Saccharomyces cerevisiae S288C: one gene and its partner. The protein of the gene in region 1 binds, or shares a complex with, the protein of each later gene. Each region holds a gene or a part of one and is shown in the gene's direction. Other genes may lie near its edges.

Region 1 (7,539 bases):
GTACACACGTATATATTATGATTCAGGATCTTTATTTGGTCTCAATTTTAATATTTTTTTGCAAGGACTCGATTAATCTATCTTTTTCTATCCACCTATTTTCAAGCCACTTTTCTAAACTCTCATCATTGTATGCGAGTAATGGTTGAATTTGATGCTTTTTTACATTTACCATCACAACAATGGGGTCCTTATCCTTTATGTTGTTTTCAGACTCCATTTCTGGTTGAATCATCTCAAAGATTGTCGGAGATATTTGCTCTAATTGATAACCTTTATGAAGTCTCAAATCTCCGTTGGTATGATCATGCCCACTATCAGTATATTTGACTCGGTAATAAATTATGGTGACATCATATATGTATGGATTGATTCGTACCACCTTGGGCTTGCCGCTGCTGATTTCTTCCTTTTTTGTAAGTAAGTATGAATTATCTACGATCATGGGCGGCGTCGTCTTATCGGATACCTTGGAAGACTCCATTTTCATGCTCTTGTGAACTAATTTGTCAAGTTCTCTGTGAAACAGGTATCGGGCCTCTTTGATTATATTGTTACGGTTTTTCTTTCTTTTGATGTTTTTAATTGATGAAAAAGCAGCCATCAAAGTGGTAAAGTTTTTAAATCTTGGGTATAATAAATTATAGAAGTTTATAACAAAGGGAAAATCTTGGTGTAATTTTCTTTGAATAATTGATAGTTCCAAACTCATGATATTGACTTCGGGAAAAATAGTAATAGCTTGATTGTTTTGTCTTTCTAAAATATCTCTTAACTCATTCGATGAGAGTGCGAGTGTTTCATCTTTGAAGAATATGTTCTTTAGTAGATCCAATCGAGGAAAGTTAAACATTTTTCCCCAACCAAGAAATTTTAACTGAGGCCATTCAGCTAGATCTTCCCCCTTCCTCAGCTTTTGTAGAAATTCCCATTTAGTATAAAACTTGGTGGGACAACTTTTGAGAAAAAGGTAATTAATCAATGTGTAGTCATTCACTGATCGATGATTACATATCATTAATGTGGTTTGGAATTTGCTATCTTTAAAAAAGTTTAGGTCATCACTTCCCTCGGTTATGAAAATTTGGACGTTTTTTTTTTTTTCGAAGGTCATTTCAACTAAATGTAGCTGAAACCAAATTTCAATCGCCTCCAGCACCTTGTCTAAAGTTGGTATTATTTTCAGTTTACTATATGTCAGTGCCCTCGAGAGCAGCCGAATTTTGTACTCACCTATTATGGGCACATGCGACCAAAATCTGTCATATAGTAAATGCAGTCTAAGACAGAAGGAATTCGTGTTAATGAACTGTAGGAATTGATTGATTGCAGTAAAAAAAGAATGAAGGTAAAAATAGCCAAAAAGAATAAGCAACCTTGGGGTCAGACTCAACCAATCAGAAATATCTAACTGTTTGAACTGGACCCTAGAACCGACCATATATGTTTCGAAGAAATCAACAAAACCCATCTTAAAGTTATACCTTTCGTTTAGTTTTCTGTGTGGAAAAGAGAAATTTTATTTGATTAAGATTAACAATGAATCTATTATGGTGCATATCTTGCCCTGTTAACTTTCAATTTTTCATTTTGTGTCGCTACATGCCTTGTTGACACTCGGTTTTTTTGAAAAACAAACCATTCTCGCAAAAGATCGGATAAAAATGAAAACTTCCAGACAGTGGAATGCACACATTAATTAACGGTGATGCGAGGTGCAACAACTGAGTAATTTAATACCTTTGGTAATGCTATTGTTTCCTGGCTTGAAGCCTGTTCTTAATGCTTCCACTGTCATTGTAAATCCTGTACGAGCTGTTTTTCCAGGATTAGTACTTTCAACCAAAAGATCCTTTTATAGCATTAATCGTTTAAATGCTGAAAATAAAATAAACGATATTGCAAATACGTCAAAAGAGGCATCCTCTTCAGTGCAGATGTTTAAGCCCCCAGAGTTCTCTCAATTTAAGGACTCTTATCAAAAAGACTATGAGAGAATAGCAAAATATACTTTGATTCCATTAACAATGGTACCTTTTTATGCCTCCTTTACCGGCGGGGTTATAAATCCTTTACTCGATGCGTCTTTATCGTCCATTTTTTTGATATATTTACAGTATGGCTTCACAAGTTGTATTATTGACTATATACCGAAGGAAAAGTATCCAAGATGGCATAAGCTCGCCCTTTATTGCCTCTATGGAGGATCCATGTTGTCCCTGTACGGTATCTACGAATTGGAAACGAAAAATAATGGTTTTGTTGACCTGGTAAAGAAACTTTGGAATGAAAATGATGACCATTTGTATATATTTGGAAGAAACTGACTCACCCATACTTTTTCTTTTTTTTTGCATTTCTAAGATTTCATTTTTAGAGTCAGATTCCCCATGAACTTAACTTAGGAGAGATTTTATAAAAAGACAAATAAGCAATAAAATATATCCTTCTTCTCGAAATCCAGATATATATGTATATATCGATCTGCTTGGATTGGTACAAGACGATCAATTCTTGTCGAGTGAAACGCCTAGGGATACAGAAAGGAAAAGTAGGAATTCGTGATTGCTAGTATTCTCATTCTGTCTAAAGTGCCTTTTTTATTATTATCTGTATGCTTTTTGTTTCTTTAATGATGAGGAACGAATTTTTATACTACAAAAAAATAATGTTTACAATTTTTATCAATGTATTGAAACATTTTAATATTTGTTAGGATTCGCCTTTATTTCACAATCAAAAGGAAACACATAAAAAAAGTGTCATGCTCTACGTGAATAAAGAATTAGTGAAATAATAATAAGGCAATCAGAATACAACTATCGCACTATCTGCGAAACTTTTTACTATATGGGTATAAATGCTAAACGGAAAACTTGTCCATAAAACTATGATTCTTATAATAAACGATGATACACGTTCATTCATTTTTTATCGACGCTCAAATATAGGGTGGAACTGTTTAGTCAGCACCCCATGTATATATATAAAAGAGACTTCAGTTTCTGCCCTTTTTTCCTGTAGGAGTGACCGCTCTACTCACCGCTCTTCTATTTTTCATAGTATTAACAAGTTCTTTTCTGTCATGTAAAATTCGATGAACGTAATCATGTTGGCCTTTCGCGATCAATATTCTCAATATAATATTCATTACTTCTGCATCACGTTCCAGTTGTTCCTTAGGCTCTTTTACAATGTTAGCTACTAGCGACTTTTTTCGAGATATTGTTCCAGCGGATTTATTCGTAAAAGTAATCGGAGTTTTCTTCAGATAAAACCATCTCAAATACTCTTCATATAGGGGAATCAATCGCTGAACTTCATCCTTCAATTCGGAGACACTTTTATCATAAAAAGCTGGGATCAGCAATATATTTTGGTAATACTCATTTTTCAATTCTGCAAGAGGGGGACCTTCTCCTTTATTATGAAAAAAATCTACACACAGCGCATCAAGCCATTTGAATACAGCCTCGATTTCCGCTTGAGTCAAAGGACGACCGTATCCTGATACCGTTTTTGTGGTTGAAAGAGTATTTTCCCACAAAGATTTCTTTGCTGAACGCAATATATTAACTTTAGCGCTATTCAATGCAGGTAGAAGAAGTAAATCAGCGTTCTCTAAAACGAGGTTCCACGCTCTTAGCATTACCATAAACAACAATCTCTGTGAAAGTTCTGATGCCAGAATGTTCAAATTTGCGTTTAAATAGTCAAATAGTGGTAAAATTGCGTCATATACTGCTTCGTCAGACGCAAGTGCAGAACCATGGTGACCACACACTGTTTTTAATGTGGTTCTCGAGAAGGCAAATGCAATAAAATCAGAAAATTTGTTGACTATTAGGTTTATTGCACGATCTCTTGACCTGCTAAAAGATCTATATATTCTTCCCATAGAAGAAACGGCATCTATTTTCTCACTTTCCAGGGATATTTGGCAATATAAAGTTCCCTGCGGATTCAATGTGAGCGAAAAATCGATAGGAAACCCATCATCCTTGAGCTTTCTCGGAGTGAATTTCATATTGGCTTTTCCACATAGATCATCTTCCGCTAAATTCTTTAATCTGCTGTGTGGGTGGTGCCATATAGTAAACATAATATCGTTCGACTTTCCGAATGGAGACTCAAACACAAACTCTTCGTCCCATTTGGGAGTAATCGATCTTGCAACAATCTTAGTAGTACCTATTTCCCGTTGTAAAGTGATGTTTCTCATGGAAACGTAGGTGTTTGAAAGCCCCGTTTTGCTGAAGCCTTTAATATTTTCAGCACCGATAATTCGAAGGGTATAAACTTGCTTCATATTCTGGTCATCGAATGACTTCCCATTATCCTCTAAATTATGGGAGGAGTGGTACTGTGCAATAACAGAGGATATTTTTGATGGATCTGCTTTTTCTTCGAAGCTCTCTAACAGAAAAAGTGTTTTATCAAGATCATTTAGCAGTACGCACGTACGCTTCTTGAACTGATATGGAGCAGGAGCTACCATCTTCGGAGTTGATTTAACTACATTTTTCAAATCTTCAAACAGCCTACTACTTCTTGATTTTTCATGATTTACGTTAGCGTTATTCAGGCTAAGTGAAGATCGAGTGTCTGAGCTTTCTAAAGAGTAGGATGGTTCATCACCCTCCTGTAAATCTCTCTGGATCAATTCCATTAGTTGAGCTGAGTATGAAAGCATACCATCTGAAAACGCCTTTAATATTACCGTGATCATTTGTGCCAGTTGAAATTCATTTTGCCAACCAAATTTCTCCAACATGCTAGTTGATTCATTTATCATTTTGAATATGTCCAAAACTGATCTACTGAAATGGTCCTGGTCATTTACGGGTTGCCAATTCTCGCTTTCTAGTGAAGATTTAATAACTTTTTGAACATTACGGCTCACATCATCACATAATCGAGTCAAATATTTGATGAAATAATTTTCAAGGTTAAAGAAAAATTTCCCTTTTGGCTTTACCTGCAGGTAAATCTGTCTCAGTTCTTTCAGTACATCATACATATCTAGCGCATCTATTGGACCCAACTTTTGTCCAGTCATTTTCATGGTACTCTTTTCAGCGGTTTTTATTAGATTTAAAGAATCCGAACCGTATACTTCACATAGAAATACTGCGCATTGTCTAGGCAGAGATATTTCGTCCAATAAAGGTTTATTGTAACGTTTTTGAATCGCTTTTATGGCTTCTATAATTGTTTCTACGAGATTCTGAACGTTTTGAATTTCTATTGCGTTAGCCTTTAGCATATCCTGCAGAAGGGAGACAAAATAATCCTCTGATGCTTTAAAAAGAGTCTTCTTAAATAATTTGATCCAGTATTTCTTTACAGCTACGGACTGCGTTTCATAGAATTCCATTACTGGATCCCCAACAATGTTTGAATAATAAAATGACAAAACTGGAGAAAATTTTGGCTTTGTACCTGAAAATATCGCAGTTAAAAGGTTATTTATTGTCCTCATAGACTGATCAGTCGTATGAAAAAGGTTTGCAGCCCATAAATAGCGATCCTGAGCATTCCAAGCGGATGGATCCAGATTATCCTCTGAACATAAATATTTATTGCGGATGACAGAAAACAAGTTTTCAGTTATTGGGATATTTAGCTCTTCATCTCCTAGAACACTTAAATTTGCTGCTGAATAAACCAACGAGGAGATGGTGGAAGGATATTCTATTCTCCAATACCTCGCTGATTTATGAAAGAAGAATAGAGCTTCTTGAGAAAGATTTATGGCATTTACAGCATTAGAACACTCTTTTTTTAAAACAAGGCCTATGAGACGGACAAATACGCTTTTTGCATCCTTGGGTATAAGACGGTTTCCGTGAGAGGTAACCTTTTCGCCTATCTCAAATCGATCCATTAAATTTGCAATTTCAAGAAGTTCATAATTCTTCCATAAATTGTATTCTCTGTCACTTGAAAAATCAGAAGCCGTCAAAGTACCGTTGTCTTTCTTGATTTTTTTCCTAAGATATCTTAGTTCACCGCAAAATATGGGATTTGTACAATCGTCCTTAACAGCCATTACGTCTTGGTGAAGCTTTGTTTCATCTGTTTCGAATAACTGCATAAAATACTTCATATGTGAAATATCTTGGACTTTGAAAGAGGGTTGCTTATTGCTAATCGTGCTCCCGGAAATGCTTCTATATTGAGGGACTGTGGCAGGTGAGGCGGCTCTTTTCTTCTTTACTGTTGTCTCGCCTTTTTTAAGATTAATCTTATAATCAAGCAGTCTCTTTATGATATTTGCACAACTATCTGGAAGTACATCAATTACTAGGTCTATAAAATAAGCAACTTCACTGAACAGCTCGTCACGAGAATTTTTAATAGTCATTTTCTTTAGTTCATTACTGGCAATATTTGTGAAATAACCGACCACCTCCTCCATTTGACCCATCTTGGAAAATGTATCTGCACTAGAAGAATCGAGCATGCTATAATACATCTTAACAATACTTTTCCAATGCATCTCATTCGGCGCCAAGTTTTTATTTCCTGAAATTTGTGCCAACTTCCCTTTTAATATACGTAAAGTTGCCTGTACTATATCGCGTTCCGACATATCGTCTTGTTTGTCAACCACTAGTTTCTTCCCATGTTGCGTTTGCTGATGATTCGTTTTGTCAGATAAAACCCTTGACGTTCCTGTCCTATTCGATAGCAAAGCTGCTTCTTTAAATCGCGGTTCGTTGATATAATCCAACAAAATTAGTTTTAAAGTGTAAAGATAGACATCTGATGTTGGTAATTCGGTATTAATGACGTTGCATATTGACGGTATTTCCACGGATACATCAGATACAGTAGATGATAATGTGGAGACTGTTCGATTCATAAGTTTCACACTAGCTGCAAAAGCCCTATAAAATGCCGGCTTATCCTCTTAATGATGTGAGAACGCTACTAATATTCAACTAGGAGCAGAGCTATTCGCCTTTCTATTTTCTACGTAGGTATATATATACAAATCTCTACATACTCATGTATCTTTTCACCCGGGAATGTTAACGTTACAAATTGTAGGCAGCTACCGAAAAAATAAGGCAAAAGGACTTTATAATAGAGAGGCCATTTTTCATTCCTATAGTGTTGCCTTAACAACACAAATTTCAACGCCTTGAAATTTTCATGATATCCTTGATTCAAATGCCCTTTGTATCTGATTGCTCGGAATCTGAAACGATGGGCTTTTCCTTTCTACGGACTTCTTGGATAAGAGGAGGACAGTCGCTTATTTTTTTAGGCTCTGTCATATGACTTGCCAAAATTTTGTGCATCTCAAACATATTGGTACTCTTGCCAAGTATTAATTCTAATTTTTCGTCGCACAGTATTTCTTTCTTGTTGTTAGGATTCTGCAGATTATGCGCTTTAATATATGCCCAGAGTCGTCGTACTACTTCGGTCCTCGTCAATTCATGCTCTCCTAGCAAACTCGCTAATGATTTAGATAGTGTAACTTTTCGTGTTGAAATAGGTGACTTACTAACAGTCCCTTTTTTCTTC
Region 2 (2,817 bases), on another chromosome or scaffold:
AGCAGAAAGATCTGATTTTGAGTCAATGCTTGATGACTTTTTGGACAATTACGAACTGGAGAGTGGTGGCCGTAAACTGGCTAAGAAAGATAAAGAAATTGAAAGGCTGAAGGAAGCTGCTGATGAAGTAAGCAAAGGTAAACTGTCTCAGAGAAGAAATCGTGAAAGGCAAGAGAAAAAGAAACTTGAGAAGGTCACCAATACACTAAGCAGCTTAAAATTTTAGAGGAGTAGAATGAGATGAGAAAGCACCTACATTACAAGTACTGTGTAGACATGTATACTTAGCCTAGAATGCATTGATGCTAAAATACATCCTGCCCACCGGGTAATAATTATGAAACGCGGCGGTGCTCTTTGTGGATTTCGGAGAAAGGGGGTGGAGGAAGGAGGTCGATTTTCATTATTCAAATATTGTTTTAGTATAAAGAAAACCGGCGTGCATTGCTTCAAAGAGCCGTTCAAATTAGTAACCGTTTGAGATATCTTGTCTTACTACTCGTATTCCGCAGATAAAGTACATTTTAAGAAAGGAAGTAAATACACATAAATAAATAGCAGGAAGAAAATGTCTAACGAAATTGAATTACTGCAGAAGCAAGTCTCTGAATTACAAGACTTAGTGAAGAAGCAAAGTCTGATTATCTCTAAGACAGGAGAGCGTGTGCTGGAATTGCAGTTAGATAAACAAAAGCACGACGTAACTGATTTTGATTCGAAATTCTCTAAATCTATCTCGAAGAAATCAGGATCCGCTACTCAATTCGATGCCACTGATTTTGCCACAAATGAAGATCTAGTGGAATTAGTCAAAGAACTACAGGGTGAGCTAAATTTCATCGAGGAAAGGTCTATCAGAAGACTTGTTAACTCTTTGAAAAAAGATGATGATGACGTTATAGCGCCACTGCCTAATGCAGATGGTGATATTCCTGCTATTTCAGACGGAGTGTTCCCTAAGTCGTTGAAAGAATTTAAAGACATCCCAGACTTAAAACTGGTAAGACTTGCTAAATTCTACGAAAGATTGCCACCAACTCTAAAGGAACAAGAAGATTTTGAAAACTTCCTGGAAGGTAAGGTGGAAGCCTTTCACATTAATGAGACCACTGATGAAGAGATTTCTAAGGAGTTGGAAAAGTTCTCCAAAGATGAGCTAGATGATGCATTTAATGATGTTGCCCGCTATCTAGGTCTCTCCCTTAGAAGAGGAACCGAAATATGGTAAACAGAAAATGAAAAAAAATGAAAAATCAATGAATAAGAGGGCTTGAGTTCCAGGTTCTAGAAATTTCCCTCACTTATATATATATATATATCTATATACATATAGTTTTGAGTATATCATAACAGGATTCTCTTTCAATGAAACCTATGTTTTCCGCGGCATTGCAGTTAAAGGATGTTCTAGTGGTGAAAAAGAGAAGAAAAGAATTCAAAGTTTTCCTCCCATAAGTATACCTATACTTTTTATCTGTGATTGAAAGCTGTATACCAACAGCCTTCTATATATTACCTTGTATACCATTCAGTAGTCTTAAGCATCATCTAACTTTTGACCAGGTCCATTCTGATTGGCTGCGGTAGCCCGCTCCGTTTTCCGCTCTAAGCGTTTGGTACTTGTATAAATGTGCACTGGCATTATGATATCGAGATCCCCGCATAGAAATCTCAGGACCAACCAAAAATTGCCAATCACAAGCTCTAAGAATAATAAACGATGTCTGCAATGATGGTCAAGTTAGGACTGAATAAGTCGGCTCTATTACTGAAACCCTCCGCCTTTTCAAGAGCAGCTGCCTTGAGCTCCTCGAGGAGGCTGCTTTTTAATACAGCTAGAACAAACTTCCTTTCTACCTCACCATTGAAGAATGTGGCCAGTGAAATGAACACCAAAGCGGCAATTGCTGAAGAACAAATATTAAACAAGCAAAGAGCAAAGAGACCTATTTCTCCACATCTGACCATTTACCAGCCACAATTAACTTGGTACCTGTCTTCTCTTCACCGTATTTCGTTGGTGCTTATGGGACTAGGTTTCTACTTGTTTACTATACTCTTCGGAGTCTCTGGTTTATTAGGTCTTGGATTGACTACCGAAAAGGTTTCTAATTGGTACCATCAGAAGTTTTCCAAGATTACCGAATGGTCCATCAAGGGTTCCTTTGCTTACTTATTTGCAATTCACTATGGTGGCGCCATTAGACACTTGATCTGGGATACCGCTAAGGAATTGACATTGAAAGGCGTTTACAGAACTGGTTACGCTCTCATTGGTTTCACCGCCGTTCTCGGTACTTATTTATTAACTTTATGATTCTTTAAGGCGACGCACCTGTTTCTACACACAAATATATATATAGCCAATTTTATATATACGTTCCTATATATGACCCAATACCGCACTTATTTATTCTTTAAGATCTTTATAACCCAAAATGCCGATTAACACAAACCTATATTTACTAGGGGCACATTTTTTATTTTTTTGCCTTTCTGTAAAATACAATAGAGAAAATAAAGGAACAAACAAGAGGAAAAACAGGAAAAGATAGCGCAAGAGTAATCATATTCAACAAAATATCAGTGATTTTTTACAGATATCAAGATAATTTCTTTCCGGATACTTATTGAAGCTATTATTTGTTACTGGCAAGAAAAAGCAAACATAGGCGGTCATTTTTCTTTTGTATAAAGTAAATACAAGAAGAATTATTTTCGAGGAATAACTAGGTGTGCAGAGATATTAAGGAACAAGGAAAGAAGAAAGAAAACAATTCGAACAAAACTTTATTATTCTAGCACTATTTTAAAAAA

Evidence for each region. Proteins that work in one complex are often made in the same cells at the same time.
Region 2: the proteins of TIM18 (region 1) and SDH3 are in contact, whole or in part, in a cryo-EM structure (PDB 6LO8), measured with the Saccharomyces cerevisiae proteins. Residues at the interface, in NP_014940.4 of Saccharomyces cerevisiae: Gln63 (codon at 1,935), Met64 (codon at 1,938), Pro67 (codon at 1,947), Pro68 (codon at 1,950), Glu69 (codon at 1,953), Phe70 (codon at 1,956), Arg83 (codon at 1,995), Lys86 (codon at 2,004), Tyr87 (codon at 2,007), Ile90 (codon at 2,016), Thr93 (codon at 2,025), Met94 (codon at 2,028), Phe97 (codon at 2,037), Phe101 (codon at 2,049), Ser115 (codon at 2,091), Phe118 (codon at 2,100), Leu119 (codon at 2,103), Tyr121 (codon at 2,109), Leu122 (codon at 2,112), Gln123 (codon at 2,115), Gly125 (codon at 2,121), Phe126 (codon at 2,124), Tyr133 (codon at 2,145), Gly153 (codon at 2,205), Ser154 (codon at 2,208), Leu156 (codon at 2,214), Ser157 (codon at 2,217), Tyr159 (codon at 2,223), Gly160 (codon at 2,226), Ile161 (codon at 2,229); in NP_012781.1 of Saccharomyces cerevisiae: Leu92 (codon at 1,994), Ser93 (codon at 1,997), His96 (codon at 2,006), Arg97 (codon at 2,009), Leu100 (codon at 2,018), Val101 (codon at 2,021), Met103 (codon at 2,027), Gly104 (codon at 2,030), Leu105 (codon at 2,033), Phe107 (codon at 2,039), Tyr108 (codon at 2,042), Phe110 (codon at 2,048), Thr111 (codon at 2,051), Ile112 (codon at 2,054), Phe114 (codon at 2,060), Gly115 (codon at 2,063), Ser117 (codon at 2,069), Gly118 (codon at 2,072), Leu119 (codon at 2,075), Gly123 (codon at 2,087), Leu124 (codon at 2,090), Thr125 (codon at 2,093), Thr126 (codon at 2,096), Ser130 (codon at 2,108), Tyr133 (codon at 2,117), His134 (codon at 2,120), Lys146 (codon at 2,156), Phe153 (codon at 2,177), His156 (codon at 2,186), Tyr157 (codon at 2,189).

What each region holds. Positions count from the first base shown.
Region 1 is NC_001147.6:869,531-877,069, reverse strand, and holds TIM18 (Tim18p), read left to right. Parts: upstream 1-1,748; coding exon 1,749-2,327; downstream 2,328-7,539. Other genes in the region: MUM3 (Mum3p), read right to left, coding at 32-1,471; YOR296W (uncharacterized protein), read right to left, coding at 2,999-6,868; UAF30 (Uaf30p), read right to left, coding at 7,176-7,539. UniProt on the Saccharomyces cerevisiae protein: Component of the TIM22 complex, a complex that mediates the import and insertion of multi-pass transmembrane proteins into the mitochondrial inner membrane.
Region 2 is NC_001143.9:177,947-180,763, forward strand, and holds SDH3 (succinate dehydrogenase cytochrome b subunit SDH3), read left to right. Parts: upstream 1-1,720; coding exon 1,721-2,317; downstream 2,318-2,817. Other genes in the region: ribosome biogenesis protein LTV1, read left to right, coding at 1-226; MRP8 (Mrp8p), read left to right, coding at 569-1,228. UniProt on the Saccharomyces cerevisiae protein: Membrane-anchoring mono-heme cytochrome b subunit of succinate dehydrogenase (SDH) that is involved in system II of the mitochondrial electron transport chain and is responsible for transferring electrons from succinate to ubiquinone (coenzyme Q).